Linked DNA regions of Drosophila melanogaster. The protein of the gene in region 1 interacts with the protein of each later gene in a pairwise test. Each region holds a gene or a part of one and is shown on either strand. Other genes may lie near its edges.

What was found.
Region 2: the proteins of Elovl7 (region 1) and CG13220 interact in a two-hybrid assay, tested with the Drosophila melanogaster proteins (one large-scale study listed by BioGRID).
Region 3: the proteins of Elovl7 (region 1) and CG6770 interact in a two-hybrid assay, tested with the Drosophila melanogaster proteins (one large-scale study listed by BioGRID).
Region 4: the proteins of Elovl7 (region 1) and CG17147 interact in a two-hybrid assay, tested with the Drosophila melanogaster proteins (one large-scale study listed by BioGRID).

Annotation. Positions count from the first base shown.
Region 1 is NT_033777.3:7,990,041-7,998,986, reverse strand, and holds the start of Elovl7 (ELOVL fatty acid elongase 7), read left to right. Parts: upstream 1-3,134; 5' UTR 3,135-3,564; coding exon 3,565-3,567; intron 3,568-8,946. UniProt on the Drosophila melanogaster protein: Catalyzes the first and rate-limiting reaction of the four reactions that constitute the long-chain fatty acids elongation cycle.
Region 2 is NT_033778.4:11,281,049-11,288,628, forward strand, and holds CG13220 (uncharacterized protein), read left to right. Parts: upstream 1-3,234; 5' UTR 3,235-3,449; coding exon 3,450-3,911; 3' UTR 3,912-4,050; downstream 4,051-7,580. Other genes in the region: CG9062 (uncharacterized protein), read right to left, coding at 59-102, 226-331, 390-584, 647-842, 912-1,051, 1,116-1,220, 1,281-2,275, 2,338-2,557 and 1 more; Fbl6 (F-box and leucine-rich repeat protein 6), read right to left, coding at 4,916-5,120, 5,190-5,324, 5,385-5,617, 5,671-5,838, 5,903-6,043, 6,100-6,269, 6,328-6,538, 6,597-7,496.
Region 3 is NT_033779.5:12,042,011-12,049,592, forward strand, and holds CG6770 (uncharacterized protein), read right to left. Parts: upstream 4,109-7,582; 5' UTR 3,966-4,108; coding exon 3,756-3,965; 3' UTR 3,333-3,755; downstream 1-3,332. Other genes in the region: CG6785 (uncharacterized protein), read right to left, coding at 1-224, 317-981; Plzf (promyelocytic leukemia zinc finger), read right to left, coding at 5,386-6,282, 6,339-6,851.
Region 4 is NT_037436.4:20,217,996-20,226,159, forward strand, and holds CG17147 (uncharacterized protein), read left to right. Parts: upstream 1-5,936; 5' UTR 5,937-6,027; coding exon 6,028-6,034; intron 6,035-6,291; coding exon 6,292-7,298; 3' UTR 7,299-7,329; downstream 7,330-8,164. Other genes in the region: CG6933 (uncharacterized protein), read right to left, coding at 620-1,668, 2,066-2,108; CG17145 (uncharacterized protein), read left to right, coding at 3,857-3,863, 3,925-4,922.

The DNA.
Region 1 (8,946 bases):
GCGACTTCTCTGGATTTGTGGAATTTTGGGCGATCGAGCTAGTCGCTGATCGATGTGATCGGAACTTGCTCGGAAAGCAGTCGACAAATTTGAGTGGCTCTGAATGGGAAGCCGTGTTAGTTCAGACTTTATTGTTTTAAATCTTTTTTATACGTGTATGTATTAGATATTGGGAGATCTTGAAGGGGATTTAGTTATAATCACGGGTTCTCTGGGGGCGGGTTGAAAGGAGAATGACTCGTGCATTGGTTTGTTATTCTTGCCTGTCTTTGGTATTTCACACTTTCGATTGCATTGCCTCAGACCTCAAATTCCACGATAATGTACGGGCGAGAATGATTTGCAGAATCGAAAAATGCCACTTGACTTAACCGTTATTTAATAATCAGAAAAGCACCAGCAGAAATAACAATTCCGCCATACACTGAAGTATAAACTAGTATATTTGGAATATAAGTCTATTTCATTAACTTATAAAGATTGAATGGAGTTATTTTTCACATAGAAATTTGTTAAATATACGAATAGGATATAGAACCGTATGGAACTGTATTTTCGGTACCATTTTGTAGATTCTAACCTTTTAATTTTCGAACCGTGTTTAGGTTTTGCAATCCAACGTGTCGGCTGCTTTTGTGGTTTCGAGGGCTTTTGAGACTCCGGCATCGCGAAATCAACGCATCAATCATCTTCGGTTGCACAACTGCAGGGAGGTGCAGTCCAACCAATTGCAGCTTTTCCCAGATGATAATACCAGTTGCCTTCTACCAATATGCTCATTAGCACCAGTCCGATGTAAATTCTACTGCCTTGCTATATAATCGCTAGGGTGATTTTACGAGATTTGCAACCTTGAACTCTGGTTTTTTATTATTGCCAAGTGCGGATAAGGCCAATAATACTAACGAGAGTCCAAAAATAAACAAGCGCCACAAAGAGCTGGATCCGAGTCACAAAAACTCTCCTAAGCTTGGCCCAATAAACAATGGCTTTGGCCGGCGATCGACACCCACCACACCACCACCAAAATTGGTCGTGGTTCATCTGCGTGGCATCATTACGATCGTCATCTGGCGCGGCTCGTCCGATTGAGACTTGAATTGAAGTCGATATTTCTGGGCCGAAGGTTGCGCTATTAAGTATACGCCGCATGTGCTCGCCAAAAACCAAAAGCCAGACTAACGATGAGAAGCATCTCGGAAAAAAGTCATTGTACTCCGCCAGGGAATGAGCTCTGAATAACCTGATGGTTCCGGTCATTAGGTCCCCGTTTATTGCGGTTGGATCGATGGTCGGCAAAGGTGGATAAACGGAGTATATCAAATCGATCGGAAGTCGCGGCCAAGTTCCTTCAACTTTGCGATTATGCAATCGCATTGAGAAATTAACACACTGAACTCAAATGGTGAACTGGTGCACTTTCGTTAATGAATTTAATTAGATTATGAATATTTTTCAGATTGCTTTAACATTTCGATTTGTATGTAAATTTTCTGCAAATGCTCAAGGTTGAATCTCTGGGTATAAAGTGCTTATTTATTTTGATTTTTTGTTCACATAAATTTTACAACTAGGCGTGGCTTGCCGGCACCTAAAACTTGTGTTACAATATATTGTCGTGCGCGGCATTAGTTAAAGGACTAGTGAAGTGCATTCTAACTGGGAAAAACATATCCATGTCTGGTGAGTACAGTCGCAGTCTAAATTCTGATGATCAAATGGAAAATTTCAGAGCAAGCGGAAATATTACCTGCCATCTCTGTCCATATAAGGAGGATCATTCTGATCTAGCATGGTCAATTCATCGTGAGCTTTTCCTCTAGTCATACAGCCACTAGAAAGCCCTTGAATCGATCGTATTCATACTTCCCCCAATATGGCAGACGCGTGTTTCGGATCTGTGAGATGGGATCAGCTTAGGGCGACATGTCTATACATATTCATCGTCTCCCCCGCCGACTGTTTGCACATGTAAATTTGGCGCGGCTAGATTACATGGTCAGTTACGTGTTATTCGGTTAGAATTCCGCAAAAAGATCTTGTGCTCGGCGGCCATGCAGCGGACTTTGAGACGAAAAATGCAAATGTTTGCTTTGTTGCATTGCTTGGGTTTTTTGTCGAAAAACGCATCAAAAGTGCAGGGTAATGGTGAGATTTTTAGCAGGTAAATTAGAATAAAGGTAGTTGAAGGGTCGTTAATTGAGGGTAAGTAAATCGTCAACCAAGCCGCTGTCAAAGTTCGATCTAATTGCTTAGCTCACAAAAATCGACTACGTAACGTTTCAAGCTTGCACAAATAACAAGTAAGCGTCGGGTCCTCCGAAATATTAAGTATCCGCCAGGTTGCCTGCAACATCCAGGTCTCGGTAGCCGCTTTTCCCATTCGGGAATTTGTATGTTTCAGAAGTTCACGGCGCATTTTGGCCATTTATTGGCCATCACGAAGGCAAACGGAGGAAAGCCAAGTATTGGTCATTATAAATATTTAAGAGCCCAAGAGGCAAACTGGTTTGGTCAGCCCCATCTTCTTCTGCTTTTTACCGCATACGTATCCAAAGATTGGGCTTTGTTGCTGGCAACCTTTCCGCCGCTCTCCCTCGCCGTGATTTGATTTGATTTGATTTGATTTGTGGCTACGTTAATTTTTGCACACTTTTCCGATATGAAGGGCCGGGCCTGGGCAGGGGTTAATTAACGGACATTCTTGCCGAACTTTGAACTGTGCAATCATGCGCGCTGCCAAGACGCGGCAAAAGTACCGCTCCGATATTTGGATTGGCGGCAATTAGCGCCGCACTTGGGTGTGGGTGCAAAGGCGGGTGATACCCCCACTGGTGGATACCAAGAATTCGATTCCAAAGGGCCGCTGGCCGATCTCGCTCTCGCTCTGGCATCCTGACGCCCGACCCGATCGCTTCGGCTGTCAGAGCGAGAGCACACATCGACAACCTGTTGCTCAGAACCTGTGGCTAGCGACCGAAGCTTTCGACTTCGGCTCACCTCAACGCCAGCGCCATCGCCACGCTCGCCGAAAATGAGCGGTCGGCGGCGCCGACGATCTGCGTCGACGTCTGCGCCAAGTCCGCTCCTACGACTGCGAGGCGGTATAAAAGTAAAGCGGCAGCGTGAAATCAAACTTATTTCAGTGTTTTTGATTTGAATGTAAAAAGCGCACGCTCGCCCAGTCGCTGTCCAGTTGTTGTCCAGTAAAGTCCAGCGGAGCAGCAGCAGCGGCAGATCGGTCGCATCAGCAGTAGCATCAGCAGCAGTTCCCCGCAACAGTGATGTAGAAACCATAAAACCGTATAACGATGGTCAAACAGTGTGTGCGTGTGTAAAACAATAACTAAAAACCTACAAGCAAGAAAAACGAAAAAAAAAAACGAAACGAAACGAACAAGGATAGTGCGCTAAAAAGTGATAATTCGTATACCAAAGTCGAGAGAATCTCTGTAAATTAGTCAAAAAAAAAAAAAAGAAAAAATAAATAAATACAGTACGCTTCCTTGTAACAAACGGAATATAAACGCGCATTTAGTACCTGTTGAAGCGAATTTTAGCACAATGGTAAGTAGCGGGGGTTCCCGACCGAACACCCAGTGTGACTCAACGGAAAATTGATGCCACTGAAACCTCCTTTATTAAAATGCCTTTGCAACCAGTAATTTCGATGCCGACCCCCAACATGCAAGCCTGAATAAATAAATATACATGATCGTACGTTGACTTGGGCTTTCCGTTAAATCCCACAACCCACAAATGACCCTTTGCACACGACTCGTGTGTGCTGCTGCTGCTATTAAGCAAGAAATTAATAATAAAAAAAAAAATAAATAAAGCTCCTATAATGAATATCCGCAATGCAGCCGTTAAAATTAATTGAGCAAATTATTAATCGAGAAAACCTCTCGAGCACCAGCCATTCCTGGTTCTTATTCGTTTTCTTTGGAAATGGAAAAAAACCGCACGCCAGCAACTGGTTTTCGTTTTCAAGTACACATTCGCTAGCAAGGTTTTCCACTGTTTTTTCCCAAATGCATTTTTGCCGACTCCGCGCAGACCTTTCCACGCTTTTCGCCCACTTTTCCCCCGCTTTCTGCCACAAAACATGAGCGTTTTGCTCTGTTCTGTTTTGCTAGAGCCATTCGCTTTCGAGCTCCGCCAAAAGTGCATACAGAAACTGCAAGTGCTGCACTTATTTCGAAGCTGTCGCTGTGTTATGTCCGCAGTTGCAGCAGCAGCACTTACACCAGCAACATCACTGGCTGGCGGTCAAGTGAAGTGAAGGCTGGCTTTTGGCTTTGACCAGCTCACTAGCCCACCAGCTCACCAGCTCACCAGCTCACCAGCTCACCAGCTCACTGGCATGACAACATTTCACACGGAAATGCAGTGCATCGCTGACCTTGAATCTCGGCCGGGGATATGGGATAACTGGCGATCGGAGCGCAGGTGAAATGATAGCCAGTCAGGGCCAGGCCGACTCATTTGTCCCGTCCACCTTACTTATGCTTTCGGCCCATCATTGCAGATGCTGCTGCTGTGTAGAAATCCAGTGATTTTCATATTCATTCAGCAGCTCTGCAAATTCGAGAGAAAAAACCCCAGTGGGTTAACCAATCGCCGCCGCTACTACCGCTGGCTAATGATCACTGGCATTGCACCATTTCACAAAAAAAAAAAAAAAAGAAAAAAAAAAATAAGCAGGCAACCCAGAAATCGAAACTTATTCAAATCTTCGAGTTGTTTTCTTCTCCTTTTGGCCTCTTACACAATGATTATTACACCTCGATTTTATTTTCGACTGGGACTTTTGCCGCATTTTTGTGTTGCCTCTTTTGACACTGAAAAGTGCAAAGGCGCTGGCGGCGAATTTTACTAGTTGCCAGTTGGCTATGGGCGGCTATGGGCTATCGGGTCTGGGTTGTTTGAGGCTGCTTGTTGGAGCCAGAGCCACTGCCACCCAGCTGCCAAACTGCGCAGCCCCCGCCAAGTGATCATAATAAAAAAAAATGTGCCTTAATCAGCCGATTTGCTTGCATTCCCTGTGGGCCAGTTAGCTACATTGGAGAGCCAGTCTCAGACGCATTGACGTCGCTTTATTGTTGACTGCCGCTCGGCACTCAGCTGTTTTTTGGTAAGAGAATCATGTAGAGAGCATATAGTAAACACAAAACCATAGGCAGAGTGCCCTCTTAGTACTTAGTGTGTGTGTGTGTGTGTGTGTGTGTGTGTGTGAGATAACGCTTGCCGCATGTGACTGAAATCGCAGTGCATTCGCTGCTCCATTTCGATTTGTTTGGCTCCACACGGCGTATGCGCGATTTTCTCAGTAGCTAGCTAGTCTTCGTTCACTTCAATTGCGAATATGCCATTTGGGCAAAGGTTTATTGTTCTACATAAAAAAAGTGCGTGTCTCTCAGCAATTTTTTTACTGGCTGTGTATATTCCCGAGCAAATTAACACTTAAAAACTGATAACGCAAGCGAAGAGAGGAATTCGAGGTAGATAAACGTAAAGAGACCATTAAACGGAGAGTACCTGAAAATGATTACATTTATGGACTCTTATCGGCCCGTGATTGAAGTAAGTGTCATTTGAAATTCAATTATTGCTCGTTGGAGATTAGACAGAAAAGTTATGCCAGTAAAGGTGTTAAAAACACTAAAAATAACAGCTTTTAAATTATTATTCAAACACGCTGGCTTGCATATTTTACAGCTCTTTGAGTGCCTTTTTTTTTTTGCAATTTTATACAAACTCTTCGTTCCCGAAAAAACAATTAATTTATACATATTTGTCGCTTTAAACTGGGTCGGTTGGATGAATTTATTTGTATAAATTAAATTATTTAGTGGGCCATGCTGTCATACCGAATTCGTGATTAAACATATTTCCATTAGTGCGAATTTAGATGGGACTTAGGTGCTAAAGTTGTTCGATTTTGTTTTTAAGTATTTTAAAAATGTTTAATAATATTTTCTAAATAATTTCCTTGTCGTACAACAATAAATTACAAATAAATTCCATTTTAAAGCAACGAACGCATTTGCAGTAATATATTTTCGACACATTTAATCCGAACACAAAATAATTAAATCAACATCAACATTGTGGGGCTAAAGCAAAATTTAAATTAGTGGACAGAAACAACCTGATAAATACGCGAATGTAAAGTGATTGAGGAGCTAAAAGTCATTGCTTGTTTAATTGTGTGGCTAGTGATTTACGGGCTTGGGGGCAGAGAACTTTAGGCTGGGAAATGGCAGCAGGGACGAAAACCAAAGTTCGACATTCCCAATTCGAATTGCATATTATGCCTGAATGCCTGAATCCAAATGGTATGGAACCATTTTTAATGCAATCGTCTAACATAAACGTTCACGAAAAAATCAACATTGGCGGCCTGACAAACGCAATGTAGAATGAATCAGCTAAAATATATCCCCCGAATTGAGGCTTTCAAATGGTATTTGGGGAACTCACTTACACTTACGCACATTTAGCCAACCTGTTGAGTATTTGCAGCTGTGCACTTGACTACTGGCTGAGTTTTTAGTTGCTGCAAAAACTGCTTTGCACTGAAAGAAATTGGTAATCATATAATCTTATTAACCAAAAAATAAAAATGCTCAAAGGTTTCGAATTTTCCAAAACCTATTGAAACTTCTTCATATTACCATATTTCTGACTGACCTAAATAGTTAGTGAATAATGTGGAAAATTAAATCTATTCAATACTTTATTTGCATAATCAAATCATTCAGATGACGAAACACGCCCAAATAAAATGTATATTAGTTAATTAATATTGATACATAATCAGTTAACTTGACTGTTGACCAGATTGATCTTCATTCATTGTAATATTTTAAATATTAAACAAATTGTGTTTTATTTAAAATGTATGCATTCATAAAGAGTTATCTTGATTGTTTTTTGTGTGAATTTCAACAACTTGCAACTTGAAACGCTGCTGCGTTCAGTGAGCGTAGTAAACCGCCCCCGAGAGCAACAACACCACTTCCTTGCGGCAGCACAGCCGTAGCAGCAGCAGCAGCAGCAATACAACAACATACACTCGAAAAAAATTGTCTTGCACTAATTACTGGCGATTTGGGGCCAACGACAAGCGCGCGGCTGGGCAGCAAGAACCACATACAACTCGATTGCCAAATTAACGCGATTTAGCTGCTTTTAAAAGTTGCCGGAGTCAAGACTTCTCTGGCGAAACACACACAAATGCGGATGCATATAGGCCCCGCATACATCTTATTGTTGCGGTGTGGCAAGTGCATTTGGTGCACATGTTGCTGGCGCGTTTTTTTCCGAACTCGGTTAGGAAATCGCCTGCGATTTCAATCGCGTGCAAGTCGCGCGCAGTCTGGTATTCGCTTGAAAGTTTAAAAACGCACGCTGCATTTTCAACTTGACCCACAACAGCCGGGAATCGATCAGCGGGCTGTAATCGGTGCTTTATTGTCTTATTATTAATACTTTATTTTTTTCTGGTGTTTTTTTTTTTAGCGGCTTTCCATTTACCGAAGATTTGTTTACGCATTTAACCAATCGCGGCATGTTGCATCATCGCTTGTCATATTAGACAAGATGCTGCCGGAGTAAAAGTCGCGGTCTGAACCTGAATGTTAACTCCGAAAGCCAGTTGCAGATACAGATTCGTATACACGAGCAAACCCTCCGCGCGCCTCTGTGTTTCTTTTGATCCCCCCTGTTTGTTGGCTGCGCTCAACTTGACCTATAAATTGATTTTTATGTTGCGCAGGTTCGTGCGACTGTGTTTGATTTTTCTTTGGCCCTCCCCATACAAAGCAATTTTTTCTTTAATGATCGAAAATCATTAAGTGCGACACGAGTTTGGGTCTCAGCTCCAATCGGCTTCGATCGATCGCCGATCCCCTGATGCTCCACTCATATGGGTTCAAACCAGTTTGGCCCTTTACATTTATCTCTCATTGCTTTTTCTTTTCCACTGCTGCGGCTGCTCTTGCTGGGAAAGTAAAAGTGTTGAGCTGGACAATTATGCGGCTCTACAAACGGGAAACCATAATTTTTTCTTACTGTGCAAATTGCTTAGTGCCGCCCTGGCAGATGAGACTTATATAAAAGTCGTTAAAATAAATCAAATCAAAGAAAGAGGTTTAGAAATGTAAATGCCGCAAATGCTGAATTTCTCTCACCAGGCCAATTGCAAATATCTCAAAAAGTAACGAAATAAAATCCGAGACCAAAAAGCCAAAATCCCAGTCAGTAAACCGCTCGGCCAGTTGGCCTTGTAAAGAAATACATGTGTACGTACTAAAATGTTAAAGATTTGAACTGATGTCTGTTACTACATCGCAGCCTCAACACCTATATCATCTTCTTCTCTCCGTCAGTCCAGTCGCTCGACGCTCTTTGTTGTCTTCCCAATTATGCATTTGAAACTGAAACCCGTCAGATACTTTTTTTCGGACGGCCTGGGACGGAACTTACAGTCCGCGAGCTGTGAGAGCAGGGGGGGGGGGGGTGCTTCGGTATTCGGGATTTCGGACGCTTGGGTTAATTAATTGCCAACATGTTGAAAAGTGTTAATAACATTTTTGTTGCCCGATTGGGGCTGCTGCTCTATCGCTGATAATTTAATTGCTTTGTCGACTCTGCGTCTCGGCACCAAGCAAATGCAAATGCTAGCAAATATATGTTTTTCTGTCCGCTGCCCATTTGATTTATATTATCTTTTGGGTCAAATTGTGCAAAGCCGAACAAATTTAAATGACCACAAATGCAGTCAACTCGTGGAATTTTTATTTTGCAAGCATAGAGACTTGGGATGAATGCCTTCGACTTCCTCCCCCCGCTCGAATGAATGAATAATAAACTGTAAAAGAAAACAGAGCTAAAAACGCTGCTGGCATTGAAATCGGAATAGTGGTATTAATTAGTTAA
Region 2 (7,580 bases), on another chromosome or scaffold:
TCTCATTCAATAATGCATCGGTACTGCTTCGGTTAGGCGGGAGATCACTTGCCAGCGTTCAATACTTGCGCGTCACGCGCTCCAAGCTATCCCCGATCGAACCTATGGGGCGGATATATATAAGCACAACTCTCGGTTAGGCAATAGCAATTGCAGAAATCAAGTATGCGTTGTGTTTGTGATAGGTGTTCTTGTGTTGTTCAATGCGTGGGCTCTCTTATTTACCATCGTAGTTGAAATTCTGTTTGGTCTTGTACTGAAACGTTAGATCGGTCGACTGCTTCCAGATAAAGTGGCGCACCGTGCGCAGGTCCATGTTGGGGTCCACAACCTTTAAAGGAAAGGCGGTGAACAAGGTCCTTTAAATGAGATTTGTCCATTTGTCTTACCACATCGTTACACCACAGTTCAATTCGTTCCTCAGCTGGCAGTTGGGATCCCTCCGAATTAGCATCGCTCTGGCTATTCTGCAGTGAATTGTTAGCATTGCCCCCACTTGGGGTAGTTTCCGCATTCAGCACCTTTTCAAGCACGTGCTCGCAGACCTTGCGACACTGAATAAATTCATTAGCCACAAGACGATCCTAAAAAATTTAATATAAATTGCGTTAGAACATGAGTTTTGTTTGCTGTCAAGGACGGCTACCTTCTTCGTTCGTTCAGGCTTGGTCATTTGCGGGTGAGGCTGCAGGAAGAACGGTATTTTGAGGAACTTGGGAATGTTCTTCTCGATCACCACGTCGGTCACCCACTGAGGCGCCGTTTCGTGGAGCAGGGTACTTTCGCTATCGCCAGCTGCGTCGCGTACCAAAAGTCGGCAAACAGTGCGGCCACCCACTTCACTGTTTAATTTAGCCAGAAATTTGAGAAATTAGTTATGGTGCAGATAAGGTTATATCACAGTCACTAACCTAAAGATGACGGGCGTGTGCTTGGGCACTTGGAAGTAGCCATTGCCGTGCATATCGGGTTCCATTTCGTTTGGTGGTATGCTATGCGGTGGTGTCCAGTACTCTAGCAGGGCTTCTAAAAGTAATTTGCCATAGTTGATCTATAAAAAAACAAAGCATTTTAAATGGCATTTAATATGTGAAGGGGTCTGATGAGCGATCAACCTTAATCTCTGTTGTGGGATCGACGCACTCCGGCAGTCCAGCTTCAATGGAAACCCAAGCGGAAAAGCAATCCACTTCCTCCTGACCCAATACAATCGTTGGCATCTGCAAAGCATAATTAAGTATAAACGAACTTAAGCTTCAATAGAGCTTAGCTTAACTCACCCCGGTTTTCAGATCAACAGTGAACCAGTTTGGAATGTAGACCTGCTTATTACGCTTCTTCACCTCCGCTTCGAAATCAACAGCGCCCAATTGCTCTTTTTTGACAACTCTCAGCACATCGTACACCACGACCTGATCTTGTGAGTCCTTGGTTATGATATAACGTTTGTCGTTCAGCACCGCGCACTCCTTGATGGCGGCTCCACCTTTTATGCAGGCCACCTCAGTGCCGCCCTGTGTCCATTGTGCGTCCATTCCGCCCGAGGAATTTAGTGTGCACCTGTCGTACATGGGCAGCTTCCAACAGCGAATGTCCGAGTTCCAGGTGGTGGCCCACACCCCAGTCTTGTCGATGTTGTAGCCCAGACTCAGCACGGGCGCCTGCTCCTCGCACACAAGCGTTTTGTTACTAGGGTTCCGCATCTCGGTCACAATGATGTTGCGATCCCGACTGCCGGAGATGATGTACTGGAAGTTCTCGCTCATCAGCAGCGACCACACGCCCTCCTTGTGCACGTGGATGGTTTGAACACAGCGCTGTTGGCCCAGGTTCCACACCTTGATCGTGCCGTCGGAACTGCCAGACACCACCTGGTTTCCATCGGGCGACACCACCAAGCAGCGCACGTTCTCCGTATGGCCTCGCAGCTTCATTCTGCGCATACAGGTGCGGGGATCCCAGATACGCAGTATATTCTCCGTGGACCCGCTCACAATCACGGTGCCCGATGGATTCATGGCCAAGCTGTAGATTGAGTCCTTGGACCCGGTTAGACTAGAGGTGGTAACCGTGTTATTGCTCGCCGTGAGCGCGGTCAGTGTGTTCACGTCCCACAGGAAGATGGCCTTGTCCAGTCCAGCGCTGGCCACCTGTTCCCGATCCTTGGCGTAGGCCAACGCCTGCACGTAGTCGCGATGGGTCCGCAGGGTGGACATGCAGAAGCCTTTCTGGGCGTTCCACACCTTCACCGTGGTATCACAGCTGGCGCTAATAACTATGAGTGCAAAAGATTGAATGTTTGAATGAATGCCTAAACTGATCGGTGGAGCAACTCACGGTTCCTGCCATTACAGCAAAGTACTATGTCGTTGACCCAGTCGTTGTGGTGCTCCATCGATTGTATGTACTTCTCGCTGGAGTCCGTCCGTGTATTCCACACACGGATTATGGCGTCGCGACCGGCGGAGTACAACTTGCCGTTATTGGCATCCAGCTGCAGAGCGTTTACGCCATTCCGGTGCTGTTTCTCCTCGGCGTCCCGTATCACGAAGGAAACCTGGCGTCCGACGGTTTAATTGAATTAGTTTGGGCTTAGGTGTCCGCTTTCCTTCCCGTTTTCAATTGGCGCACTCACCTGCATTTTCTTACGTGCCTGACAAGTTTTGTGCGTCAACATGTCGTCCACGGATCTGCTGCACTGTGGCTCTCGGCGATATCTCTGGACTGAAGTGCTTCAGGAGCTGGCGTTGGTTGTTCTCTGCTCGCGGGGCGCGCACATTTATCGACGTTGCTTTGGGGCGGCTGATATTTACTTTTTGCAAATTGAAATTGAGGAATTTCCAGGCAACTACAAATTTTTCGCACCTATTTCGCTCTCTGTCTCTCCCCATTCGGTCCTCCCACCTCTCAGGCACTCCTCCACTCATTCTCCTGCGCCGGCTGGTGTTGCCACCTGGTTGTGCACACCGTGCCGGCTGTTCAACAGAGTTGACACTTCTTGTTCAGAAAGGTGACTCGTTCCGGAACCACTAAACTTAAAAATTCGAAAATTTTTAAAAAACCAGCCAAGAAAATAACTATAACATTTGTTTTTAATTGTACATTCAGGAAATATCGGGGCTAATGTTATGCAAATACGCAAAACGCCCACTAACATGAGCGCTCCAAGCGTTAAAGCCCTTGATAACAAGTACTCTCCCTGTCAGATATGTACATTTATATATTAGGATCTCTCAGACATTGACATATTATATTGGTCAAAACATTTACATCTTTATACACATATCTACCTAGAACCAGTGATATACCATCTGCAGAGTGTCCGCGAAGACCGACATAACTTTCACATATATCGCGACCTGGCAGCCCTATTCTTTACATAACAAGAAGAAGAAGACTCGTCGACCTCACCGGGATCCAAAAACTTAATTGCATTTTCACCGATAATAATGGCCGGGACACAGTCAAAAGACGCCTGCAGCATATGCGACAAAGTGGGCCTCAAGCCCTTCACCCGGGATAATGTGTTCAACTACTACATACCGCTGCACGGCCTGGTGAGCTACGGAGCCCTTGCGGTGAATGTTATGAACCCCCAGATCGTGCCCAAAATCCTGCCCAAGAAGGACCTGACGAACGTGTTCCTCATCTCCGCGGTGGTGGGCAGTGCCTTCTACATTTACGGCAGGCCCCACCTGAAGGACGTGAAGAACAACAAGCGAGGTGCGTACGCCCTGCTGGGCGCCACCCTATTCTCCATGGGATCCGTTCTGGCCTGGGCGCTCATCAAGTCCGCCCTGCCACAGGACAATGCACTGCTGGCGACCCTGGCGGGCTTGGGAACTGGCGCCGCCATCGTGAAGGTCGGCACTGATTACATTCAGGACGTGGATAAGCTGCAGAAGAACTAGATGATCTGATCGATACGATATAGGACTGAGGTATTCGAACCCAAAAGTGGGTTCGTACTGTAATTGCTGTCTTGGCCGTACATAGCTCGTAATGCAATATTATCTCCCGCATATTTGAATAAAATTATACTATAAACCCGACTGAGCGGTGTGTTTTGCTGTGTCAAGAGATGGATAATGCCGGGTGTAGATTGAAAATGTTTGCGTTTATTTTAAATTAAATGTACCTTTAATTGCCGTCTCTTAACTGCTAGTAATGCTTAACAATTGAATTGTTTTAATTTATGTTATGTATGTGTGGTATATGCGTTACCTTTATAAATGGTTACTTCGTTTATATAAAAACATCTAATCGGAAACGCCAATATGTACATTCTTGTCGGATTAAAACATTCTACAAATTGCCTTGGCGACTTTGAATTGACGACTACTTTATGGTAAATATATTCTTTTTGTATTGCGAATTATACACTTTAAACTTATTTTTAATTCTTGTATACATACTTTACAAACGCTCAATGGTCGGACTTAACTATCAATAAATCAGTATGTATATATATATATATACCATTATATATACTAAAAAAAATCATTGAAAATCGTTGCAACGGTTGTCTTCAAAAGGAAATGATTTTCGCGCTGCAAAAAATTCGAATCAACTTAGTTATGAATACATATTGCATTTACAAAAGGTTGCTTATTCGCACAGCATCTAATGCGGGCACCTCCAGAAAAGGGAGGAACTCGCTGCTGCCGCTGTGCAGAGAATACTATGCTAGTACAGTAGTTACGCTCTAGGGCCTATAAACAAAATAAGCATTATTGGAAGATGCAAGCGATTGCAAATATGCAAATATTGCAATATGTTTGCGGACTACATTACAAAATCAACAAAGCGCTTAACGCCTTTCGCGCGAAGAGGGATGCAACAATTTAAATTACATTTAAACTTGGCCCGCCTGATCAACAATAAAACCGATGTGTGGACTTGCCCACTGACTGGATTAGTTGCTCCCGCTGCTGCTCTTCAGCTGCACCCCCAGAACCTCCCGAAGTTCGCCTAGCTCCTGCGGTCCCTGCATCAAGCGCTTGACGCCTCGCGGCAGACCACGGCACGATGCCAAGTTGATGGAGCTCATATTTTGGCAGTTCGTCAGTATTTCCTTTACCGCCTCATCGGAAACAGAGGAGCCGCATAGATTCAAATGACTGCAGGGGAGAAATAAATTATAATATATATTAGCACACAATAGATACATTAGTTCAATATATACTCACGCCAACGGCGAATCTCTGCCCTTTTCCGCTAGGGCGCGCAACGCATTATCAATGGGCTGCTGCATATTCGCCCAAGCCAAATCCAGTTCTATGAGACTGTGCGCCCACTTTGAGGCAATGAGTTCCAGACCCGACCTACGTTGGGAAAACTTTTGATTAGTCTGCGTTCTGCATAACAATGCTAATTAGACCCACCCCATATCTCGTGTGACTGAGCAACCTGACAGGAATAAATGCTTGATATCCCAGGCAGGTAAGCGGATTAGGCTCTCGTGCGTCAGTCGTGTACAGTTGCGTACGTCCAGTAGCTTTAGCTTGGAGCTGCTCTTAAGGATGCGCTGCAGATGGTCGTCGCTTATGATGCGGGATTCATCTGTTAAGGCAGCCACGGACAGTTCTTCAAGTTCCGGAAAACCAGGTGAGTCCATCTGCAAAAGCTTTCTTTTAAAACATAGTTCGAACATTGAAATGCGAATCTTACAATTTCCTGCATTGATGCCGTGCTTGGCGTTATATGAGAGTTTGTCACACGCAGGACCTTTAGCTTCTGGCAGCCACGCTGCAACTTCTCAATGTGGAGTACACCGTGTGATGTGGCCTGCGTGGTCACGTTCGAGAGATCCAATAATGTTAGATTCGGACAGTGCGTCTGCAATATGAAAAAGAAGCCCATAAGTCATAGGAAATAAGTTGTAAAAGCGTTGTGAACTCACCGAAAGAATTCCGACTATTTGTGGTATTCCTGCCAGACGATTGTGCGCCAAATAGAGATGTGTTAGACGGCTGCCCATGGTCTGGAGTGCATTGCATAGGGAGTTGACACCCACGGCGCTCTTGCTGGCATTCATCTCAACCTGTGCGATACAAATTTGAATCAGATATAGCTTCGCAAACACATGCCACAACATACATTGATGGAACTTAAGTCCAAGCGCTGCAACTTGTGCATGTTATCCACCAAATACGTAAGATGATCCGAAGTGAAACCTTTCCAGCCGGAGAGCGTAATGCCTGCAAGGTTCGGGCACCCGCTTGACAATTTGGCAAGGAAGCAATTTATGTCTGATATTTTCCAATTGGCTGAAAGGAGATATTTTAAAATTAAATTATAGTCTCAAGACCATACTTCTCAACTTACAAACATTCAAGTCTGTACAGGCACTGCAGCGGTTGTCGACAAACCACTTGAGCTTGAGTTCGGTGCGATATTTCTCTTTGACCCATGTGGTAAGATCCATAGTGCGCCACAGAGTAGGCCTAAGAGACACCTGCCGCCAGAGCGAGCAAACTCTGCCAAGGCGAAACAGGGTGGGCAGACAGCCCTGTGTATCCACAGCATGCTCAAAGATCTGTAAGATGAATTCATATTACGAACACCATTTATATGCTGCTTGGTTTAATTCTCACTCTGAATAGGACTTCCTCGGGCAGCTTTTGAGCCCAGACACTCTGCTCGACTGGATCGCCAGCCGCCTCCGCAGCATCCGGACTCGTTGAAACCTTCTTTTCGCCGCCACTACCACCTCCTCCGCCTTTTTTCTTGCGCGGCTCATACTCGGCCTCATCGCTGTCCTGTTGCTTTGGTTTACGGACGCGCTTGCGCACAGTTTTTGTTGCTGCGGGAACTGCAACTGGCGGAGATGTGACACCAGCAGGTGCGCCTTCTCCGGCATCAGATTTCTTGATGCACAGTCGGATACCCATCTTGTTGTCGCTGATTTCGCTTTCGTACATGGGCAGCGCCTTGGTTTTGCGGCATCTGGATGCACGTGGTGACGTAGTGGCCGCTTTGCTGGTCTTCTTGCCGCTGAGCGCTGTGGAGAGTGGTTTCCCCGACTTTGGTACGGAGCCATTGACCGGCGCCGGCGTGGCCTGTGCCTGTACCTGTGGCGGTGGTGCCGATGACTGTTGATCCGCCGCCGGCGACCGCTGACCGTCAGAGGCTGGGGAGCAGGACGTCGATGTTGCCGTGTTAGTCTCATCGGTTTGAGTTTCTGACTTGGGCGGGGACAGGATGTTCTCCGGAATGACGGCCGTGCTTCCCGATGTGGCAGTTTCGACGGCCAGCAGTTGTGGCGGGGTTTGTGAGGGCGTCGAGGGAGTGAGTGTGTTTATATCCACCGTGGCAGATTTCTCCTTATCCAACAATTCACTCTGCTCCGGCTGCTGACCACCAGTGTCATCTGCCTCCACTTCCATAGCCGTTTCCGCCGAATCTTTGGCGGTGGACACTTCAGCTTTCTCTTTTACACCATCATCATCGGACACTTTGGTCTCCTCCACTTGAGAAGATAGAGATTCGCTCATCACTCTACTCGCTCTTCTGCAATTGGAAAAGAGTGCAACCGTTACTATGTACCTGCTTCTCAATGGAGTATTACTGGTTCCGTT
Region 3 (7,582 bases), on another chromosome or scaffold:
GGCGTTCGCTGACCGCGTTCCAGGCACTCATCAGTGCCTGATACAGATCCCAGATCTGCTTGAGGCTCTTCAGCACGGTGACCAGTGTGGATTCACTTTGGATTTGGACTACTGCATTGTCGGACGTGGGCTGAGATTGTTTGGCCATCGCTGTTTCCGGATGTGGGCGCGGCTGGAAGCCCATGGGATAGTCGTACATCTCATCGTAGGCGGGATAAGGCGATCTGTAGAAAAATACATACGTTTCGTTTATGTTGTTGTAATAATTTCATCCAACACCCATGACCCAGATCTAGTTGGATTAAGCATTTCTCACCTGCTAGGAGCTAAAGACGCCTGAAGCTTTCTATTATTGCCCTCGGCAGCGGGATGAGTAGCGACTGGAGCTGGCTGCTGTTTATATGACCACGGAGCGTAGAAGGAATCGTAGGGACGTGCCTGCTGTGACCTGCCCTCACCGGTGTATTCCTTATCATAGAAACGCTCATCCTCTTCCGACTCCTGCTTGGACTCTGCACTGGGATATCGTTCAGGTCCGTAGTCATCGGCCACATCGTAGTACGGATCCTGCTCGTAGGAATCCTCGCGACTCTGCGGCGGACCGTAGGCATCCTGGCGTTGTCCCAACACGGGAGAATCCATGCTCTCTGCATTCACCACCACCGCCTGCTGCTCCTCGTAGAAGTTTCTGCCCTGCTGCGATGCGGATGCACTCGGATTGCTTGCATTTCCGGCATCCCTAGCAATTCGCTCCACCGTGGCAATTTCTGTATCATTATCGGCACCGGACTTGAAATGATTCCACATGCGCGTAAGGATTAGGAGATCGCTTTCTCCGCCCGCGTTGCTCTGTGCCCGTCCAGCTTCGATCACGGCCAGCGCCGTTAAGGTGGTGGCAAAGAGAAGAAACGTGACCACCAGAAACCATATGGGTGAGAGGCGTCGTGGCGCCTTCGCCGGCATTTTCTCGTAGGCAGACATTATCCGTTTGTCACTATTGATTCTATTGTTTCGAATCCTGGTTCAGCACACACCGCACGGCCAGTTGGCTCGGAGTTAAGTCGACAACTAACCGAAGATGTCCCAATGCTGAGCCAGAAAAACTCCGCCCGGCAATGGTGCTAATGGCGGGTTTTTGGGTATCTAGAACATCCATCCGTAGTGGCTCGTTGAAAGGTGCTAATCCGCGGGCCGCGTGCATCATCGTTATTGGGCCAGTGCTCCAGTTTCGATTTAACGGTTCATCCAAGCCACCAAGTGCCGCGGCAATTAGCACCATCCATATCACCAATGTAGCCAGTACTACGATCCCATCCCATCCGATGCTAACTTCCATTCTCCATTCAGTTATGCATAATTCCCGATTTTGTTGTTCGCCACAAATTCGTTTTTTTTTTTCGCGGTGAAAGTGTGCAATATGATTCTCTTTCCAGAAGATGGACTATGGAATTTAGGAAATCGTAATTGGAATGGCTTTGTGCCGTTGGAGCACAAAGATCCACGCCTGTGGAGTGGCCGCCATCGAGGTCCGTCGTCGGTCGTGTGCCAGGCGAAGATCACGATCTAGGAAGCTGCATACATGCCCATATTTAGACACAAATCGTGGCAAGCGTGCGACTTTCATTAATGGGGTTGAAAAGAAATCTATTTCTACAATTAAGATACGTTAAGTCAACATCAATGGGGTGTTTGTACATTGGTGAGATCGCCTTAACGATTCGAAATTTGAAGACAACACCATTTTAAAAATGCTAATACACAGTTTTTTTTGGGAAATTGGTATACTACACAAAGTAACCAAAAAGAAAGGATATCGTATTAGAATATTGTATACACATATGAGCTTATCATAGTTTATTATATAGATACATATAGGTAGCCACCTATTAAAACTCATATCTTAGAAAAGAAAGCGATGTTAACAATTTTATTCTTTAATGCGAATTGAAATGAAATGAAAATTGCTCATGTTATGAAGTTAGTATTTAATCTTAAGAGCGCAACTAGAAAAGTGCAATCACGAAGTACATATGTACATATGTACATATGTATACATATGTATGTATGTATATTCGATGTACTATCTTACCTTCAAATCTTACATACACATAAATATGAATGTATGTATGTATGTAAATATGTATAGACCTCAACTTCTATCGATTTCTAGACTTTACTGAACTATTAATGCGTCATATGTTTACCGGCGAAACGCAGCGTGGCAAACTAGTTTCGTTACCCCCAAAATTGTTTACTCGTTTTTTAGACCTCTTGCTTGTTTTCCTCTAAAAAGCTCGATTGTAAATTTTATTTGTTGATATTGCTTTGTTTGAAACCGCGGCGATAATGTTTATCTATCGATTTTGTTTTACTTTTGTAATGCGAGTTTAACGAATCTTTAATTTAGAAATACATTTAATAAAAATAAAAAACCGATTCTAAGGCACTTTTAACACGCAATATATTGCAATGTTTAATTTTATAAAAAAACAGGTTTTTCATCACCTTCTATTTGTTTGAAGTTTGGAACACCACATTTTTAGATAGATCAATGATTCAGACGAAATGCTATTTAATGAAGATAAGGAATATTTATGACTAACCAAAATGCGAATTTAAACATACATAAGAGTCTTGGAATTTTAATTGTCAATATGTTCGAACAATTTCATTAATATGCATTATAGCAAAACCACCTGATCGAGAGTCTGTTTTATTGTTTACCAAATATCAACAACGCAATTCAAAAAGCCGGCAAATGGCGTTTATAGAGAGAGAGAGAGCGAGAGAGAGGAGAGAATTCCATTAGAGTGGACCTTTCTGGAAAAGTTTGTTCGGTTTATTTTTGTACGTGTGCTTGTTTGTTTGTGAGTGGAAAATAACATAGCTTTTGTAATTTTGGACACCTAATGTAAAAATATCGTTTAGTATTGAAAGTCAATAAAAGCGGCGCAATATTCATAAATGCAACCTTACACGCAAATTTAAACCGGAAGAAATGATGCAGGAATATGTGTGTGCAAGTTTAATTACCTGTGTAACTGGTGAACTTTCAATGGAAGGTCTCGGGAATATTTCCGTTTGCAAACTAACATACATACATTACATACACAAATAAATATGTTCATACATGTTCTCTTTTTGGTCGATCGCTGTAAACAAAGAAAAAAGTCGACTGCAACTGCTTTTGCGATAATCGAGGAGCTGAGTGCAAATGAGTTCAACTAAAAGGCTATAAATATGCACAACAGCACACCAACGGCATTCAAAAAGCTCTCTCGCTTGGAAAGGTGCGCTGCAAATGCAAATGAAAATAAGACGACCAGGCTATTCAGTTTTGGTTTTCTCTTTATTTTATATGTATTACCTAAGTCAAACTTCATTATTTGAAACGCTCTAAGGCTTAGCAACTAAAACTTGCAAGTCTGAATTAGTTTAGGAATATATTAGAAGCTAAGAGTAGTATGTGCCTTTCTTTTTTTGTGTTTGTGAAATTATAAGCGAAATAAAATTATTATAATGTTCACAAAGTTTAGCGCCGCATGAAAAGCCAATGCACAATACAAATGCAATGTGTATTTCCAGCTGGCTTTTGTTTTTCTTTCTTTCCTTCCAGCAAAACTGCTGCTTGTTCTTCTTTTTCTTCTCTCCTTTGCTTTTGCTTTCCTTTTAAATTCGAAGATTTCTTTTCTCCTTTCAGCGCGGCCCCGTTACTTCTTTCTCTCCTGTTCCACCGCCTCCGTCGATGCCCTGCATCAGTTCTTGCAGGCGGCGGCTTTCTTGTTGTTGTTGTTGGTGTTCATCAGCTTGGTCAGAATCTTGCGGGAATGACCGGAGGGATCGAAGTGGTTGGTGTGCTCATTGGCCTCCCTCTTGTTGCGCTGCTTGCCGCTGTGTCCAGAGAAGATGTGCTTGTCATGGTCGAAGTTGTAGTGCTCGTACTCATCGAAGTGGGCCTCGGACATAATGGCGATTTAAGGTTGCAAAACTAACTGCGTTCTTGGTTGGTGTCTGCTTTTTGTTTCTCTGCAAACTTGCAGGCTGCTTTCCAAATTTCTCTTCTGCTTTTTTTTGTTCACTTTTCGCTGAGCTGCGAACGGAATTGAATTTTTTCGGTCGAGCAGCGGCTTTTATAGGCGCGCAAGCTTTCTGTTCCGTAACCAAAGCTCTCTCTCCGTCAGAGTTGCCGGATTTAGCTAAAGAAACTACTAGAAGGGCATTTAATTGTTGCTTACGTGTAGTTACTAAAAATATTTAATTTTTCTATAACTTTCTACTGAACTTTTACAAAATATATTTGCTCTTTTTTATGTAAAAGAATTTTTAGTTATTAAAATTCATAGTTATTGGGCCTGACAACCCTTTTGCGCTCAAGAGAGTGCCTCCTTGACAATTTTTGCTGCGCAATTTAATTTTTTGCTGTTTACAAAGTGCGCGGTAAACAAAAAAACTGAAATCGCCAAACATATTATTTCGCCTTGTTCATTTATTTTAATAATTTAAGAACTTTTAAGCATACACACGTTCCTGAGTGGTTACATAACACACACCCACCTTGGCCCTCCGCAAACGACCATCAAAGTGCATTTACCCTGCATTTGTTTCTCCACCCAATAAATATAGAATTAAATGCATCATATGTTCTGGATACACTGCTCAAAATTTGTTTATTTTTTTACACTCAACAATATTTGAATGTTAGGGCACAAGAAACAATTTAGCAATAATTATAATTCGAATAACATTTTTGATTTACAAAAGATATACTCATAATGGATATTTATTTTGGTGCATTAGAACCTGATCGGTTGACCCACTTCCCTCCCACCAGGCAACGCATTTGTTTATTTCTGAATAGCGAAAAGCTTTCAGTTTGTTTTGGTTTAATGGATTTTATATAAACAAATGTTACGTACATACATATATACATAGCCTTCTGGCGTTGATAAGGTGCTAACTATCGCTCTAGTTAGTCATTTGGCAGGTATTCGTTCTGAAAGTTCGTCTTCAAACGACGCAATAGATCGTAGTCACCATCTTAGATAAGATAGAACGGCCTCAACAATGTTGTTTCAAGAACCTGCCACAATATACCACTTTATTTACAATTCGTTGGTAGCAAATCAATCTTTAGATTTCTCGATGGTTCTTTTTTAATGGCTTTAAAAAGAAACTGGGTTTCCGTGAATATTCTAGATACAATTTTGTTGTACTAGAACTCAGAACGAGAGATCCCACGTCTCATTTTGTAAATATAGCAAATGTTCTAAACTTGCTGATACAGTCTCTTTTCAACATAGTTATTCTAAATATTTACTATTGACCTTTGCCTCACAAATCTCTTTCTCTGAGAAGTTATGAATGGGGTAACCTTCCGTTTTATTCCTATTCTACAGTCTCCTTGGGCAGTAGTGTTTTCAGTCGCTTGTCAGGATTAACATTCCTTATAGTCTTGCTCTTAACACTCTTTGGCTTCTTCTTGGGTGACGTTTCGATCACGGGAAGCTCAAAGTCATCGGGAAAGCTACTGTCCACCGTTTCCGAGAGCTCCAACTGCACCGGTTTCTCTGTGTGAACCCGCTGCACGTGCTCCTTCATTTTGTCGGAGCGATGACTGCTGAATCCACACAGCTGGCACTTGTAGCGGTTCGGACCATTCTCCGTGTGCTTGAGGGCGTGACGCTTGAGGTTTTTGCTCTGGCTGAACTTGCAGCCACAGACCTCGCAGATAAAATCGCGACCCTGTTTGTGAGTTTCAATGTGCAATTTGAGGTTCTCCTTGCGATTGGCTCGATGCTTGCAGCCTGAAACTGTGCACGCAAAGAATTCTCCGGTGTGAAGCAGTTTGTGCGACTTGAGGGCCTTCATGTGCGTGGTGCTATAGCCGCAGACGTCGCAGAGCATTTGCTTCTCGGGATTGTGGACCAGGATGTGATTGCTCAGGCCCTGCTTCCACTTGAAGCCCTTGCCGCAATGTGGACATATGTGCGGCGTTTCCGTGGAATGCTTAGGCTGATGGACGAGCAGGGCAGCTCGTGTGTTGAAGCGGATGCCGCACTGTAAGCAAAAGAAGGGCTTACGCAGATCACCAGAGTGCCGTCGTAGGTGAGTGTCGTATTCCCGCCAGTCCAGAAAGCCGACTTCGCACAGCGAGCAAATCAAATGGGAGGGCTCACAGCTGCCCATGTGCTCGATCATTTTCTGTACCTGATAGCACTTGAAGTCGCAGCCAATGCAGTAGTTCACTTTGCTGCTGGACTTTACAGCTCGCGGGTTCTTAAGCTTTAAGGAAAAGGCGAATATAAGTTACGGCAGTGGCTCAATGACATATTATCCACCTTGAAGTAACTTTGTCGATTCTCAAACACAGCCTCCGCTTTCTTTTCTGGATCTGGATTTGGTTGCGCCTCTCCAGGTGCTGGGATCTCCGTTGCTTCCTTCGCCTCGCCCAAGGGCTGCAACTGGTAGAGATTCAGTAGTTCTGTCACAGCCAAAATTTGCGCTAGCTCCCTAAAATGCAGTTCGTGCTCCTTGGACACGGACACCAAATCCTCGTAGAAGAAGTCCACAATTGTGTGCAGGCATTGGGTGCAGCTGAAATTACGGATGGTGATCTTCAGCGGATTGTGAATGGAGAACTGCTGTTGCTTCTGGTTAGAGTTTATAAACTGGCTCTGAGCAGCCAGTACGCAGAAATGGACGCTTAAGCTGAGGGAATCATCCGAATCCAGTTCGAGGAGCAGGTCACAGAATTGTCCGGTTCTTCGCTGATTGTTTAGATAGTTCGATACCTTGGAGTGTAGCGGCTGGTGCAGAGTGGGTATGGATTGCATTGTCTGTGAGTGCAGCATTTCTGCAGCTTAGATAATGCTACTAGCACTCGATATAAACAAAATAATCAAATGTTTTGCTTTAGGACGGCTAAACAGCTGTTCAACAGTGTGACCAATATGCGCTACGGTGTATTAAAATACTGACTAGTATTTTTCGACCGTTACTTTAAAAATGGGAATTTAAAAGACAGTTCTTAAATATTTGTTTAAAAAACTTAATTAATTATTTAATTATTATGTAGTCAGCACATACACACATTTACACATTTTTAGTTATTTTAAGATTAGATATTTTTAAAACTTATTGTTTTAGATTCTTAGAAACCTTTAGAACATTATAAAAATTGGTTTTAAAAAATGCTTTTTAAAACTTTCAACTTTCAAAACTTCAAAACTTTAAACCTATAAAAAAGCCAATGAACTTTACAGAATATCAAACACCGTCATGGGTGTTGAATTGAATTGTTTATTTATGTTTTGACACTCAAACATCAGCGACTTGCAGGGAAATTGGAAGAGTTAAACAAATAATAGGGCCCGCTTAATAAGCTCTTCTCAGTTCTGTTCGAACATTTGAGCGTCAGTTGAGAGGAGACGTTGGTTTCGGAATGTCGGCCACACGAACAGATCGGTCGCTTTTGCATTAATTTATTAGTCGGTGCGGAGTTAAATCAAATCATAACGCATCCATTGTTTAGCTTCCTATAGGAAATACGCTTGCTTAACCTCCGGCAAATTTGTTTGTGTTC
Region 4 (8,164 bases), on another chromosome or scaffold:
AACAGCGACTGACTGCCGCGCTCTCTGCAGAGTGGCGAGTCGATTAGTCGATAAGTTTCTCGATAATATTTGTATGTTAAGGATGGGTGTATGAGTGTATAAGCTTATGACTAGATTGGCTATGTATAATTAGGTATGTATGACTAAGAGTAAAGGAAGAGGGTAGAAGGAGCAGCCTACTACAATACTAGGCTTTGAAGTACTGAATTCAAAACAATATCTCAATGCTGACGTCAATCAAGTAACTTCTCCAGAAATTTCCCAAGCAATGGGGTTTTACTGTTCCACCTTCTTCTAATACAATAGATGGAGGCCATTGAATTTTTTTAATTAATTATTTAATTAACTTAGCTTGGCAGATAACATTTACAAATACCCATCCCGCAGAAATTATATTTATATTTTGAGGCACATTTTCTGTGAGCCTCTTTTTGAAAGATTTGCTACCAAAAAGGCGAACAACTAATCAACAATTTCAAAAACAACAACATTTAAAACAAATTTCGCTTGGTCGAAGTCAACATTTTTATTAGTTTCTTTTGAATGCCTTCAGCATTGGTATTTATTTATATATTTCATAAAAGGTATCTCGGCAAACAGACGTGGCTGGAGGAGATGCTCATGTACTAGCCGTCGAATTACAAATGGCGTAATCGGGAATTTTGGTGGTGCAGATATTGTTCACCTCGTCGTAGTACGGCGCATTGGTGGGACATGATCCGGTTATTCCGCTGGAGCAGATTGTGTAGTTCTTGCAACCCTCATCTGCCATGAATGGATTGTTAACGTTCCCACATCGGTTATGGGTACAGACAAAGGAGGCTGGCGAAACGCACTTGCCAGCATTGAATTGGGTACCGGTGGGACATTGGTTCCAATAGCCAGTGGCGTTTACTGCTGCACAGTAGTAGTACCCATAGCAGGTGACACCATCAGAAACGTACCTATAGTCAACAGATTCCCCATTTACAGTAAGTGGATCTGCTGCTTTAAAAGCTTCTTCGTCACAAGCAGTTGCATTTGTTTGCCCAACAGTGAACTGGTCAGAGTTTCCACTGTTTGAATCTTCGCCGGTGCACGGATTCGTCGACTGGCAGTTGCCAGTGGCTTTATTATAGTAGGGATTGGCGGTGCTGGAACATTTTTCGGAAGTGCCATAGCCGTTGACGCAGTTGATGTAGTTGCCGCACTGGTTCGGATCGCCTACAAAGATGTTGGACAACATGAACCGACAGATGGTGTCCTGCGGGCAGGCGGGTCCCCATATACATTTTGTGGAGGATGCCGAATAGACGCCGCCGGTGCCGCAATCGCCATAGGAGATTTGGCCTGTGCCATCGCAGTAGGCGTATTCGGTGCAGTTCAACGGATTGGCCACATACATGGGAGATTTGACGTTGGAGCATGTCTCAACGGCACTGGTGGAGCACACCGTGGTATTAGCGTAATCACAGCTGCCGGCCTGCGCGTTGAACACCAAGCCGTTGGGACAGGTGCCCCAGGCCACAACCTCCTGGTTCTTGCAGTATCCCCAGGCATGGCAGTTGCTCGGATTGCCGATGTATCCATAGCCCGACCACTGTTGGCACAGATCATCCATCGTGTAGCCGGTGGCCTGCGATGCCATTAGGAGACATGCGGCCACGACACAGATCCTCATATTGATTGCTAAATGGGGGATACAGGGGGATACGAACTATGAATTATTAAATAAAATATAGACATGTGTAATCGTCGAATAGTTTTCTATTTTGTTTGTACTTAATAATGCAAAGAAATTATGCTAGAAACGACAAAATTGATAGCTTTCAATCCAAAATTCGTGTTAGCGTCTCTAAAATTGGTTAAGCCTTTGTTGTAGCCAACACGGCAGCCCTTTTTTTGGATAAAAAATCAATTAAGGACGAAAGAAAAACTCAATTTGAGTAACAAATCGAAATTTGAAAGTCATTTTAGCCATTTTTGAAAGTCATCTCCTTTGCAGGAGAATTTCAGGGCCTTAAAACCATGTTTGAAACCACTTTTCAAAATTTAGTCGAAGCAAGACGTCTTGAATACTGTGCACCTGAGATAACTGTATCCGTTCTTCGAGCCAACGTACCTCCCATCTTGGAATGCTAATATTTTTCGGGGACAAATTCACTTGATAGACAGACGACCGAAGCGAACGTTCCGATTTCGTTACTAACTCAATCAATTGCAGCCTTTGCGTTTTTATAGTTGACAATTCGCGGCGCGAACTGGGTGGGTAATTAAAAAATTGTCAGCCAGATAAGCCAGCCGCCAGTAGGGCGTTAGTATCGAAATTAATGCTAGATAAGATTCTAAGGTCTGGGGTAAACCACGCACCTTGCATCCCTCCGAAGTTGTTGGGTTAGCTTGAAGGCGGTTCGAAGGCGTTGGACGACGAAAGTGAAACTAGCGGACCCGGCCAAAATGGACTGGCTTATAAGCTCAAATCGATTCTTGGCCAGCGGACACCATACATACTTAGTTTAGTATGTATATATAGTTTATATATATTTTTATACGTTGACAGCCGCGCCGGAATTTGGATTATCAGCTGCTGATTGCGAACCCTCTTTGTCTATAATTGTTTTTTAATTTCGAAGAAGCTCGAGGAGGCGGGAAAGTGTCACGGCTCTTATTGATCACTCAGTGGTGTTTCCCTGGTATCTCGGCACTCATTTCAGCAACACGACATTAGTTAGATATCTCAATTTGAATCGCACTGCGACTCTTGACTTGACTTGACTAGACTTTCCTCTGAAGGTTATCAGGTTCTGGGGAAAAATTACCGAACTACAAATGTTTATATTAATAACTTGTCCAAAAGAACCGTTTGAACTGAAATACAAAATAAATAAATCGCACTATGAAATTATGAAATTATGAGTTATATATATTTATTTATTTGTATGCATAATTAAATAGTACAATTATATGCAAGTATTTTGAAATTTTATTATCTATCTATATAATCTATAAAAATAATTGATGTTAATGTTTAATAACAAAAACCCCATTTTTTTAGTCAGTTTTATTTTCCGTTAAACTATTTTAAATCTATCCGCCTTATTTTATTGTTTCGCCTAAAAGCGAGTTTTGTCCGTTTAGAAATTCGCCCATAAGTATGCAATGACATTTAAACACTTTACTCGATACTTTTTCCAAATCACAAGGCATTTTCGAAGTAATTTAAATTCTTAAAAAATAGTTCAAGCTACGTGCTTATTTACTTTTTATATTTAATTGGTAGAGTACTAAAAATGTTTTTTTTTTTATAATAAAGAAGGGAAGCTCTCTATTAACCCACTAAGCCTTATGAATTAAACCAGCTGATCTTGCTCTTCATTTTATTACTATTTTTTGGCCGAAATGATAACTTATCTACTTCCTATTTAATTTACCGGTAGCCAATTGGCAATCTCCAACTTGTTTATAAAATCACCATTCACTACGACTAGAAATCACCCAGTACTTTAGCAACGAAAAATATAATTAATTTTTTCTGAAGTAAAATTTTATGAATGCTCCTTAAAAACATTAAATTTATAAATACAATTTTATCAAACATTCCCATTTTTTGTGCTCTATCATTTACCTTTTCAAAAATATTATATAGCAAATCCCTAAGCAAAATCAATACATTTGATTGTAATCTTCGAGCTTTTAACAAATGACTTCTATTCATCTTTATTTAACCCATCTTACCCAGTTGAATACCCCTCAAAAACCAATCCGCTTATCTTGCCAGCAAATAGTGATTGCTGCTTATCCTCTGATATTTATAAGTAATCGCAGGTCGACGTTCAGATTCAGTACGAGTTTATGCTTTGTCCAAAGTTGAGCTGTAATGGAAAGTGAGTGGATTGCAAACTGCCAGTGGTGTAAATCTAACTTTATTGTTTTTTCAAATTGCAGAATTTGGTGCCATACTGGGCGTGGCACTGGTGCTACTGCTTCAAGGCCTAGATGTGGTTAATGGCCGGAATGAGGACATCTGCCGCTTGTTCTCCAATAATACGGTGATCCGAGATCCCGAATCCTGCAGTCAATCGATCACGTGCATCGATTCCGTCAGCTACTACAGTACATGCACGGGATCTACTCCGTTTTTCGACAAGGACACGGGCAAATGCGTTAAGTCACTGTCCACTTCCACGTCCAGCTGCTCGATATCCTGCGCGGATCGGGCCAAGCAATTCGTGGCCGACCCCAAGTCCTGCTACGGCTACTATTACTGTGCGGACGAGGAGACGGCCTTGTACGGCACCTGTCCGCAGGAGACGCACTTCAATGCCACCACCCAGATGTGCTCCCGCCAACACGAATCGGATTGCACCACCAGCACCTTCGAGTACTGCAGCATTGTTAAGAACGGCGTAAACTTCGACAATCTGCAGGGCTGCAATATGTATCACGTCTGTGAGAAGGGCGTCCTGAAGGACAAGACATGCTCGAAAACCTATTATCAGGCCAGCACGGGCGAGTGTGTGTCCAAGGCTCTGGTGGACTGCGATGCCCATCCGTTGCCCACGGATGTCTGCGGCAAGGCCAGTAAGCCCTACGAGAACAAGTTCGTCGCGGATGAAGCCACCTGTCGCGGCTACTTCTACTGCGCCAAGCAGAAGGATGGCACCCCGGACCCCAATCCGGTGTGGAACCAGTGTCCCCAGGACAGATTCTTCGATGCGAGCAGCCAGATGTGCATAACCCCCAGTTCGGTCTATTGCTCCCACGATCGTTGCGACGGTCGGACTGCTAGTTTTGTCGTTAGTGCCACCAAGGGCTGTCGCAACTATCTGAGCTGCTCCGACGGGGTAACCGTGAGCGAGAGGTCCTGCGGCAACTACTTCTTCGACGACCAGCAGGGCGCCTGCACTCCAAGTGTCCAGACCTACACCGCGTGCAAGACGTAGGCATGTATTTCCAATAAAGCTCAGAATGCAATGTGATATTTGGTTAAGGAAGTGTTGTAATGAAGTGCACTAGTTTGGATTCTTTCGGGGACTGTGGAACCTGGATTGTCATAGATATAGATACGCGGCTCTCTAGCGAGTTCGTGTTTATGCACAATGACAAGTTTCTGCTGTAAGCCAGTATCTTTGCTGTAACTCGAGGATCGTAGTTGAGATATATTGTTTTTTTACCCGTTTTTATAAGAACGTAGATTGTTTTCGTTGCTCTAATGCTTAAGATTAGCTACCAAAAAGAACAATAATCTTAAACAAGTTCTAGTTCGAAATTCGAATAAATAATATCTGATGGGTGAGTGAAGAACACCTGTATTTTGTTTAATATTCCTGGAACAATTCAGCTGAAAACTAGGTAAATGAACAAATAGAATTTTAAGAATTCACTCAATCATGGAAACTTTTCTTGCAGGTGGTAACGATGGAATAGCATGGCCTCACCGAGGAGACCATAAATGATAATCACTGTCCTATTCGTTGGTTACAATCAATGTTTTCAAAAGTTCTGATTTTCCAAACAAAAACCTATCGAAAGCGACAGTGAAATAGCAAGGCAGTATATTTTAAAAGGTTGTCATATTTACGGCACAATAACTGCTGACCGTTTAATCGCATCAGCGATAAATATATTTATAGTTCAATTAATTAACGGCCAACAGAAGGTTCATTTGACTCGTAACTACCGTGGGTATACCTCATTAACTAGTGGCACTTTCCTTTTCGACTGAAGTTGCCAAAATTTACTATGAAAGTGAGTCGTTAAGGAATCTGCAGTCAGCTGTCTCGATTTCAATCGATTTCAATCACCAATTACGACCTACTTGAAGGGTTTTACCTCCTTTCGCACAACATTGATAAGATTTGCTCATAAGAGAGGCAATAAAGCGCTGGTATCAGCAGAAGCAGTGGCAACGATAATGACTCCTAGTTAATATAAGATTCTTCCATTCACGAAACTCCATTTAGTCGCGCGTAATTGGTTCCCGAGGCCACATCAAACCACTCGATCTATTCTGTTGCAAATTAAACCAAAGTTTCCCAGCAATCAGCCATGCTAAGTGAGTTTTATGAACCCATTAATTTACCGTCATAGATATTTACTTATACACCCTGATTCAGCCTTTATTTTTAGTGAAAAGTAACAGCTTGCATGCGTTTTTAAAGATACAATTAAAATGTAGAATCTAGATATTTTGTTCATTCATATTCATTTTTATAGGTATATCTTTAAAGGTTTTTAAGCATATCTATATGTTTTTCAAAAGGTGTGCTGTATCAATCTAATATCTCGCGATCATATGTATATCATTCGTAGACCTCAAACTTGGAGTGCTTCTCGGATGCGTTCTCTTGTTGGCTACCGTAGCTCTTTCGGCGAGTGTCGGTGAATACGAGGAGCTGTGTCGCCTTTTCAAGAACGGGACCAAGGTTCGCAAGCCCGGCACCTGCGACCAGTACATTCAGTGCTACGATGGCAACGGCACCGTCCTGACCTGCCCCTCCAACCAGTCCTTCAATCCCAGCAAGGGTAGTTGCGTGGACACGTTGGCCAACAGCAACAAGTACTGCGGCAATCGCTGCGAGGGATTGGATGGCGAATGGGTGGCCGATCCGACCGAGTGCCACAAGTACTTCTACTGCATGAACGGCGTACCGCTGGCGGGGATGTGTCCCGTAGGCCAGCACTTCGATGAGCGCTCTCAGTCCTGCCTGTACGGCGTGGACTCCATGTGCGTGGATGTGAACAACATTTGCGAGCTGGTGGCGGAAAATACGAAGTTCCGGAATGAGAAGGACTGCGCCTACTACTATGAGTGTGACAAGACCGGTAACCATGCGTCCAAGAGCTGCACTGTCACCTCCAAGAAGCGCGAGTATTTCGATGTGGAGAGCGGCAATTGCGTGGAAGCCAATAAGGTGGAGTGCACCGCCCATTCGAAGGAGAACGTCTGCACCAGCAGCACAACAATGACATTCAAATCCGACCAAGCCACCTGCCGTGGATACTTCGTATGCAAGGCCCTCTATCCCGTCGCCGACCTGGATCCACTGTGGACGCAGTGCCCCGAGGGCTACTTCTTCGACGAGGATCGGCAGCTCTGCGCCAATCCCACCACAGTGGTGTGCACCCACAACAGATGCGACGGACGCGGCACGATGCTGGTGACCAGCAGCAGCAATAACTGTCACAACTACATCCGGTGTGTGGACAACAAGGAGGTGACGGAGGAAACCTGCCACTGGGATCACTTCTTCGACGAGACAGTGGAAGCGTGCTCCTCCAAGATCATCTACGATAAGTGTTGCGATGGCCGGGACTAAACAAAAAATAAATTTAACTAAAAGTGCAAAGAAAAAGAGGTAGTTGATTTTTATTGGCGATCAATATATCCGTTAAAAGCAAAGACACTAGAAAGGTACACAGGTTAAAAGGGTATACTAGATTCGTTGAGAAGTATGTAACAAGCAGAGGGAAGCGTTTTCGACCATATGGAGTATATATTCTTGATCAGGATCAATATTCCACAAACCACCCAAAACTGTCACGACCACACTTTCGAACAATTTTTAAATTATGGTTTGGTTTTTAATTTCTACTAATATTCAAAAATATCGGGGACTTCGACTATAGCATTTTTTTTTGTTTTTATTTTGTTTTCAAAACAATTATATTTACGATTTGGCTTGAAATTTCAGTTTTTTTGGGTACAATACAAACATATACTATGTGCTTTATGAGCAATCCATTAATAGCACACATTTAAAATTCAGGTAATTGCCCGTATGGTACGCATTAAAATTAGACAACACATTTCTAATCTTTCTAAATTTAGAAATCAATTAGTTTTATCGTTCTGTTGATCAGTTACCAAAATGTAGAACAACATCCACATGAAAATACCAAGATTAATAGTACCGTCTTGTTAACTGTTTCTATTTGTTTATCTACAAAACGTAGTTGAGTTAATTTGCAATAAAACGAGAGCTTATGCTCAGGAAAATAAGAACTTTTTTATATGTATGCGTAGGACAATGGGAAGTAAAAAATAAATCCGCAGTTTTTTTTTAGAAAACTCAATTAGTTTTGCGTTTTCCATACGAAGTTGCCGCTTTGTTGTTGCATTTTTGAAATCATCAACGACCGTTACATTCGTAATTAAAATTTTACCGATTCGGTTTCGGCTGTT